Caenorhabditis elegans: one gene and its partner. The protein of the gene in region 2 purifies or fractionates together with the protein of the main gene of each other region. This does not show direct contact. Each region holds a gene or a part of one and is shown on either strand. Other genes may lie near its edges.

The links.
Region 1: the proteins of C17A2.7 (region 2) and T03F6.4 fractionate together in Caenorhabditis elegans (co-fractionation; one large-scale study listed by BioGRID). This does not show direct contact.

What each region holds. Positions count from the first base shown.
Region 1 is NC_003281.10:13,384,116-13,389,002, reverse strand, and holds T03F6.4 (F-box domain-containing protein), read right to left. Parts: upstream 2,854-4,887; 5' UTR 2,805-2,853; coding exon 2,754-2,804; intron 2,712-2,753; coding exon 2,611-2,711; intron 2,300-2,610; coding exon 2,181-2,299; intron 2,135-2,180; coding exon 1,980-2,134; intron 1,933-1,979; coding exon 1,793-1,932; intron 1,749-1,792; coding exon 1,513-1,748; intron 1,443-1,512; coding exon 1,324-1,442; intron 1,283-1,323; coding exon 1,182-1,282; intron 930-1,181; coding exon 833-929; intron 776-832; coding exon 728-775; 3' UTR 644-727; downstream 1-643.
Region 2 is NC_003280.10:3,841,406-3,845,468, forward strand, and holds C17A2.7 (Methyltransferase FkbM domain-containing protein), read right to left. Parts: upstream 2,001-4,063; coding exon 1,812-2,000; intron 1,572-1,811; coding exon 1,452-1,571; intron 1,400-1,451; coding exon 1,331-1,399; intron 1,287-1,330; coding exon 1,142-1,286; intron 1,096-1,141; coding exon 1,025-1,095; intron 976-1,024; coding exon 859-975; intron 810-858; coding exon 724-809; intron 588-723; coding exon 509-587; downstream 1-508. Other genes in the region: C17A2.3 (N-acetylgalactosaminide beta-1,3-galactosyltransferase), read left to right, coding at 2,204-2,367, 2,414-2,476, 3,188-3,617, 3,672-3,929, 3,973-4,063.

The DNA of each region.
Region 1 (4,887 bases), on a different chromosome or scaffold from region 2:
ACTGTAGAAAAGTCAAAATGTTCACTTTGACATCAACTTTCGAAATTCTATTCATTGCAAATCGAAAAAAATTCTTAAACTCCAGAAATCGTTCCAAAAATCGTAATAAACGAAAACTGGCCAGAATGTGCAGTTTTAAAGAGCAGTCAATGCTTATCTTATCGAACAATTTGTTGATAATTGACCGAATTTTCGCAAACAACAATATCTTATCGAAAGTGGGGGAAACATGAGACCTAATAAAATGTTTATATTTATGTATTTCAATGAATCTGAGTGAGGAATCAAAATCAAACTATTACCCGGATGCGAAGTTTGCAAAATTGAACACGAAAGTACGGTTCCCGGTCTCGACACGACAAAATTTTGCTCACTATAATAAGGTGCGCGCCGTTAAAGAGTACTGTAATTTCAAACTCCCTGTTATCTTATTTTGTAGAATTTCTGGGTCTTTATGCAACTTTTTGATAACATTTATGGGTTCAAAGACTGAGAGCCTGGAAGCTCAAAAAAAACCAATTTACCTTTAACATTTTTAATGTGTTTTATTTGTTCTGAAATTTAACATTATTTTTCTCGATTCAAGACTGATGCTTAATCACTAAAAAAAATTCATTAAAGAGAAAAATTAAAACATTAAATATGATTAACCCGTTTATATACAAAATTTAAAAATACAGAATCACTGAGCAAAATATTGATTTTCACCGAAAAATTGATGGTTCGTCTAACACGAATTTATGTAACCGGTACGAATGATCCACTGGGTTGCTGTCTGAAAATTCGAATTTATTGATTTTTTTTTATAATTCAAATCAAAAAGAAAACTCACTCCGTTTGCGTAGCATGCCAATTCCAAAACGATGCCCATCGAGGTTCGATGGCTTGTTTGAAATCGACAGTAGGGGACAGGTATGGCGAAGTTTGGCCTGAAACATATTTTATTAATTTTTCACCAATTGCTAGATGAATGCAAACGCGCTTCATCGATGATTTCTAATCAAAAAATTCAGAGCCGGAATGGCTTTTCAGATAGCAGCCAAACTAGATTTCCTAAAAGTATTATAAGCGAGCCCTATCCCTCCCCGTTTGATCTACAAAATTGCTGGAAATTCAGACGCGTGTGACGCAATTTTCGAAGTGGAGAAGCCAATGCACCATGTCTCAAACTTGAAACTCACGGTAAAGTTTTATAGACTGCAATTCGAAATTCATCGATTGTAACTGTAGAGTTGAATGAGATTCCTTTGATAATCCATGGTTTGGGGGAATAGTGCCATTTCTGAAGAAGTTTGAATTTCAAGTTAATAATTTGTGAAGTACCTCGATAAAAAAGCACATGTCAACTGCATCGATGGCACTGACAATTTGAGAAACTTCCGTGTAAGCGGAGAAATCAAGACGGTAAACTGCAGATGATGATAAAATTTTTAGAAGTGATCCTGAAAAATTATACCCTTTTTTGATCAGTTCTGTATGCCAGAAGTATTTTAGTAATTTTTTGAAACCTACCATTTACTGGTGCCATTGTCATTTGATCAATATCCATCCGATGCCTGGGATCTAATCGGAATTGCAAACTCGCCAGATTCTTAGTGGGAAGTTTCAGAAAACTTGAGAATGGATCGAAGGTTGTCATATTTTCCAAAATCAAGTTTTGAAGACCTTGAAGTTCTGATAGCTTTATCAGTGACTTTGGTGCAAGTTGCCAAGGGAACAGGATGGTTTTTGAGCAGAGGAGCAGAGATCTAAAGTATTATTGTAAAAATAGTAAGGAAAATGTGCAACTTACTTGATTTCTACTCGACCGCAAACTTTATCAAAAAACGTTAAACAGTCAGCAAAAAAGTTATCCTCAATTCTTTGAGACTCTGGTTTGCATTGCTTCCGAACTTGAAATCTGATTGCTTGCAAATTCATGTAGGCCAGGAGCTGAATAAAATTTTTACGGAGTAAAGATAATTTTTAAGAAAACTTACCGTTCTTGTAGTAATTGGAGAAACTGAAACATCATGTCTTGTTCCAACTCTTTCAAATTGAGCTTGCATTGTTGAATCGCTGAAATGGGAAACATGAAGCTCCTTGTATCGAACATCATTTCCGCGGAGGCACAGACGCCGTTTTTGTGTAAACTCTGAAATATGGTAAGTTTTTAGATGATCTTCTAGTAGTTTACAAACCAGGTCCTCGTGTATCAAATAGTGTGAAACTGTATGTGATAATCGGGTCAGTTCCATCTTCGCGGTATTTTGATAGAGGTCTGTTGTCTACGATGTTGACGTGGCAGTGAGCTTCAAATCTGGAAAATATGGGAATTACAAATATTGATAAAAATTGAGAAATTTCTGAACATGTCAAAAATATATTGGAATGAATCTAGGTAGGCATGTAGGCAAGTAGGCAAGTATGCAAGTATGTAGATAGATATGCATGTAAGGGATAGATAAATACTTATGTTAGGTAGACAGGTGCGTAGGCATGTGGCCAGGTACGTAGCCTTGTAGGTAGATGGGCAGGCATGCAGGTATAGATAGGTTTGTAGGTAGACATAATTTTTGGCATGTAGGCAGGCTTGTGGGTATAGGTAGGCAAACAGTTTTATTAACCCACAGTCTGATAGTTTTCAAATTCTTTTGCACCAATCCTCGAAACCGATTATTTACATGAGCAACACCAAAGAATATATCATGACGTGGCAAGTTACGGATAACCTAAAAAATGAATGGTTTTCTGTTGGGCTTAATGGTACAAACCTTCAACAAGACTTCATTTGGAAGATTGAGCAATGTTGGCTCTTCTCTCATTTTCACGTCATTTGGCAGTTTGAAAAAGAAATCGTGGGTCTGGCTGATTCTGAAAATAAAGTGAAGTTAATTTCAGGAAAAATGACATGCATTTTCAATTTGATTTTGCCAATTTTAAAGAAGATTGAAAAATTGGAACTGGACGGAGGAAATAAAATGAGATAAACAAGAAAAAATGGTGAATATTAAAGTGTTTGGGTGGTTGGTCTATGAATAGAAAAAGAAAAAGAAAAAAGAAAGGCATCGAATTTCAATGAGCTCATGCAGTTTTTTCTTTGTTTTTTTTATTTTTGTTATGTTGTTTTTCCAACGCAAGAAAAACAATTAATTTAATTTAGGGATGATCATGATTGCAATAAACTTTTTAGTTTCATAACTAGGTAGAAGAGAGTAGCCTAGGCAGTCATGTGGGCAACCACGTAGGTATAGGTAGGCATTTAGGTAGGCAAGAATTCAGGTAAATAGGCAAGCAGGTAACCACGTCGGTACAGGCAGGCACGTAAGTCGGCAAACATGTAGGCAGGTATGTATGTTTTTTTTTTCAAGTTTCTAGGTTATTGCATATTCATTTATACCGCAGTATTTAAATCTAATTTACTTCTATTATTCAAAATCTTGGTTTTATATGCGATTTTCGATAATTTTCGAAATTTGAAAACAATTTTAAACCTAGACAAAGCTGGACAAGTTAAGATAGACCATCTTTGAAAATTTCAAAGTTAGAAAAAAACCCAAAATAAAACGCAAACCAAAAGCATATTCTTCAGAAAAAAGCATATAGAAAAATAACTAATCCTCTCTTCAATTGCATAACATGTTGTTTGTCACAAAACCTCAAACTGAACTGAAAAAAAAACGAATAAAAAGAAAAAACAACTGACTGAACAACAAAAGATGTAGCGGAAAATTTAGAGACGCAGAGAAAATATTCTGGGGTTTTTGGAAATTCAATTTTCAATTGGGGAGGAATAATGGCTTTTAAGCAGGCCAACTATGCAGTACCTACAGGCCTACAGGGCAGGTAGACAGGGAGGCAGGAGGCAGAAAACACTGTCATGGAAACTTTGTACATGAAGAATGAATGAATGCATCAAAATTTTGAGACGTAGTGAACATCTTTTGGACTCTTAGAAATTAAATTTAAGACTCCGGAGAAACTTTAGTGAGTACAAACTCGTAAGCCTGTTCACTCCTGCTATATGAAAATGGCAGGTAGGTAGGCAGGCATAGGCAAGCCAGTAGGCATAAGAAACTCTCAAAAAAAAATTTTAATTGAGTAACGAATGACAATATCAAAATAAATTTCAGTTTATAAACATTCGTGGAATGAATCATACTTGTTTTAGTCATTTGAATATGTATTTTTTCTTTTTTTAAGAGGCAAAAACATAAGGTTCGCGAAAGATTAATCACGATATTTGAAAATTTTAGTTCCAAAATCATTTTTAAATTTCTTAAATTTGAAAAATCTGAACGAGAAATCTCAAATCTCAAAAATCGAGACAAATAAGTATCAGTGTAATACTAATACTAACAAAAAACACTTGGAGAAAATCGGAGAAATCGGAGAAATCACAGAATAAAATAATAAAAAACGACTGAAACAGATGGGAAGAGACTTCAGAGAATCTTTACTACAAAATGTTACACTCTTGCTTGCGGTCAAGAAAAGTGAGAGAGAGAGGGGAAATGGAAAGGCCTTGCCAATGCTTTAAAATGGAAATGAACGAATGAAAAAAGAAGAGGGTTGAAAATTTTCTTTTGTTTGTTGTTAGTTTCCGTTTTATTGGTTCGCAATTAGATTAAGCAATTAGAAATTGAAATTTGTTGGGAATTTCTCGTTTTCATTTGTTGGTTTTAACCATGTCAGCGCTTACCTGCCTCGCGCCTGCACTTATTTTCAATTTCCAACTAAACTTTGAGATGAAAAATGTTTTCAGTCAGAATATAATCAAAGGTAGGCATAGGTAGGCATAATGTAGGCATGTAGGCCTACCTGCATACAATGTTACTAGCACTTACACAAAATAGTTGTCGACAAAAACGTACAACTTTTTTTTGGGAAAAAACAATGCTTTCAACA
Region 2 (4,063 bases):
GGTGGTTTTGAATAAATTTTTGACAAGCTGACATTTTTTGTGAAAAAATATTTTTCTCAATTTTTTGAGGGTTGAATCAAGAAAAATCTAGGAATGGAAATCATGATGGCTTTAATAAAAATACCTGAAAACGTTTTTGGTGACGTTAAAAAAGAACTTTGCCGGTTTAGTTTGTACCGAAATGTTCTGATTTTGTACTGGGTAGTCCATGAGTACTGTAAAATTGCTGTAGCCTTCTGAAATATTCATTTTGGGATAATTTACACTTTTGACAACATGATTTTTTTCTTAAAATCTCACCAATTTTTTTCACTGTTTTTTCAGAGTTTGCTGAAAATTGTTAAACTTGTTTTGGGTGTGTTGTTGTCAATCATAAATAATTTATTTCCAGGTTATTGTATTGTGTTGGGTGAAAGATTACTGTAGGGGTACTGTAGCTTTCTGTAGTTTGGTTCTAACACTGTTTATTTAAATATTAAAAAATAACAAAACATTCACATAGAAAATCCTAGAGAATATAGTTATGGGCACAGTTATCATCCTTGAAATTGAGCAGATAAAGACGCATGTGCTTTCCTTTTACTGGTCTGAAAATTATAACATGTTTCTGGGATACAAGACACGTCGAGATTTCACGAGCCTGCCTTGAAAATTTGATTTTTACAAGCTGGAAGAAGGACGGGCTTGCCTGACATAAAATCATAGAGCAAAAAAAGGAATTACCTAAAAATAGCATATCTTCGATCTTTCATCAGCTGAAAAATAAAGTCGTGAATCAGTTTTTTCTGGTGGGTGTCGGGAACATGAATCTGGAAAGGATTTTTTTTGAATTTATTAATTTCCATTTAAATCACAAACCTCAATATTGATTTGGCAAAATTTAATGTTATTTTTATCAAATTCTCCACCATTATAGAAAAACTCAAACATTCCATATTCAGCGCCTTCTGCGTCCATCCACAGATCATCGATTACCTGAAATTTCAGTGTATTCAAGTTTTCAGTTTTTCCTAAAGTAATTTACAGTTCTATTGATCAATTTTGTCAGAAAATATATAATATCCACATTGACAACTGTTTTTGTAGTGTATGAAGCTGAAAATGGTTCAATGATTCAATGAAAATATGCTGATCAACTTACTATCAATTAGCACATTAGCTTCCGCAAGTCCAGGAGCTGCTCCGACTGCAAATGGAAAGTATTTTCCTGGGATACTTGTGTATAAATTTTCGTTGATTTCGTGCATGGGATCGGCCCCAAAGAACTCGGATCCTTCTGGTAGTTGCTGAAAACTGGATTCGTTAAATTAAATGGCTAGAACAACAAAACCTGAAGAAGCTTCTCCTCTGCTCCGGTATCATGTCCGATGCCCAGAGTGACTATGGTACTAGGTTGGTTCTGAGCAAAAAAGGTTGTCAAATTTTTCTCCACAAATTAAAATTTTAAATACCATTTTTGGAAGTATATGTCTTTTCGCCTCGTCAGAATTCAGAAAATCCAGAATTGGTAAATATTTCATTTCTTTGATATATTCGCATCTTCGGATCCCGTTGAACATGTTGTCCCAAAGCTAAAAAATCATTGTCTTTGAAATTAGTATTTTGCTTTAAATGTGAAAAATGTACCGTGAAAACCTAATACAACTGTTATCTTATCTTGTGAAATTGAGTCGCAAACTTTGGAACAGTTTCATTCTATAAAAAAGACCAAACAATGTTAAATATTTCATTTCAGACCAAAGGATATCCCTATGAAGTTGAGGTAGGGACAAGTCTAAGCCTAAGCCTAAGCCTAAGCTTTAGCTACTTACCTCGTCTGGATAACCTTCAAAGTGTGAAATATTATTCATAAAACAACTGTGCCAAGCGTCATAGTTTTCCTCCATTGTCTTAATTCCAGGATTTTTGGAACTGAATTGAAATCTCGACTGCGTCCGTATATAACACAGAAAAAATAGAAAAATAGTCGAGAAAAAAACTAAAGCTGAGCTTTGCCGCATTTTTGTGAAATTTAAATGAAAATGGAAATGACTTAAATAGCAAATCTGCTACACTTCAGCCTCAAAAATTCAGGAACGAGATAATCTTTTCTTTCTTTGATTTCAATCTGGATGGCGATGAGGATCGCCAGATAAGCACTCAAAGAAATTCTGCGAAACATTTGCCATTAAAGTTTCTAAAATTCGGCACCTGGCATTCAACAATGGACATAGTTCTTCAAAAGTTTAAAACTCGATGTTTTATTTTCTCCCAGCAACTCTTATCAAAAAGACACGGTTTTGACCGCATCGATCGGATTGCGTTACTGGCAGTTTTTGTGGTGGCACTGATCAATTACATCTCTTTCCCAGAGCGGAGAAAGTTTCAGTAAGCTTTGAAAAATTTTTCTAATTCCAGTAATAATTTTTTTTAGAATACCAGCAGAGTTATATGCATATTCTCCAGCTATTCTACCATATAAGGAGTTCTTCTTTCCGTGAGTTGTTCGCCTCTGTCAAATCATAGTAAAAATCCTATTGGGGTATTTTTTAGTTTATCTAATGTTAATAAAATTACAGGGAGTTGTTTTTGGCAATTTTTATTCCAACGAATTTTTTTATATTTTGTACTGAGAAATAAAAAATCTCGTTAGTTTTTAAAAAATGTCCGGAGAGTTTCTTGTGTTCGATATAACTTTGATATCTAGTAAAATAAATTCTTTGATTTTCAGTATAAAATCTAAATTTATCGGAAATAAATGTCAATTGCAATAATTTTTTTTCAAAAGTTTAAACGGTATTCTGTCTAACAGCATTTGAATAATACTTGTGTTCAGTAATCCGACAGTACCCCTACATTACTTCGACACCATTTAGAATTTCAAAATTTTCAAATTCAGAGACACAATTTGAGTTGTCAATGTGCGTTGCACCACTCTAGAGGATGAGCCGAAGTGGTTGACTGCGTACAGTATTATTACAGTAATCCTATAGCTCCTCTACAGTATCTCGGTACTATTCCCGGCAAGCTCTGACCGTAAACTTCTAGTTTTGCCAAAACTACAGAACTATTACAGTACACTACAGCTCCACTACAGCATCTCGATACTGTCCCACACCAGCCCCATATAACTTTTCAAAAGCTCAAGAGACATTGTTTCCAAAACTACAGTACTCCTACAGTACTTTTTCTAATAAAATGTTTTCAGAACTCGAGATGTTCAAATCCTAATCCAAGGAATCGAACATTCCCCTGCCACGTTCACACTTCCAACATCCGGCCAGATATTTTGCTTCGTTGAAACTTCTACAAAATATTACAAAGACCGTGTCCCATCAGTTGCCTCCACGTGGCTTCCAAGGTGTGATCACGGACGATTCTTTACAAAAACTCATCTTCCTTACCCTGACATTGCATATTCTACAGTTTACCGAAATCTAAGGGATACCTATGATGATTTGTTCCGAAAATCAATATTCAGTTTGTATTACTCATATACCAGCATTTCAAAACATTTTGATTGGTACCTGAAGACAGATGATGATACATTTGTGGCAATGGATCATTTAAGGGAGTATCTAAACACTTTGAATCCAGCAGAACCTTTATACTTGGGATATCGATTAGCACCTTTCATGGTAGGTTGATTGCAGGAAAGGACAGAATTAACTGAAAAGTTGTTTTCATTCCAGAACAATGGCTACAATTCTGGAGGCTCCGGGTACATTTTGTCGAACGCAGCAATGCGAATGTTTGTGGAACAACTCTACCACAACGTAAGGCTATGTCCTTACGATAGAGGAGAGGATCGAGGAATGGGAAGATGCCTAGAATCAGTTGGAATCACACCTTCGGATACTAGAGACGATCAGGAGTTGAACCGATTTATGCCATTCAGACCGGCCGAAATACCCATTATTGGTTCCAAGTGGCATTATTTTCCATTGAAAGTGGGTTGATATGGCCCGAAACCTTCAAATAATTATTTTTCAGTATCCATTCATATCGAAAAAGTTTGTGACACTTCATCGAGTTCCTCCGGAAATGATGATATCCCTCGACAAATCACTTTATTCAGAAAACG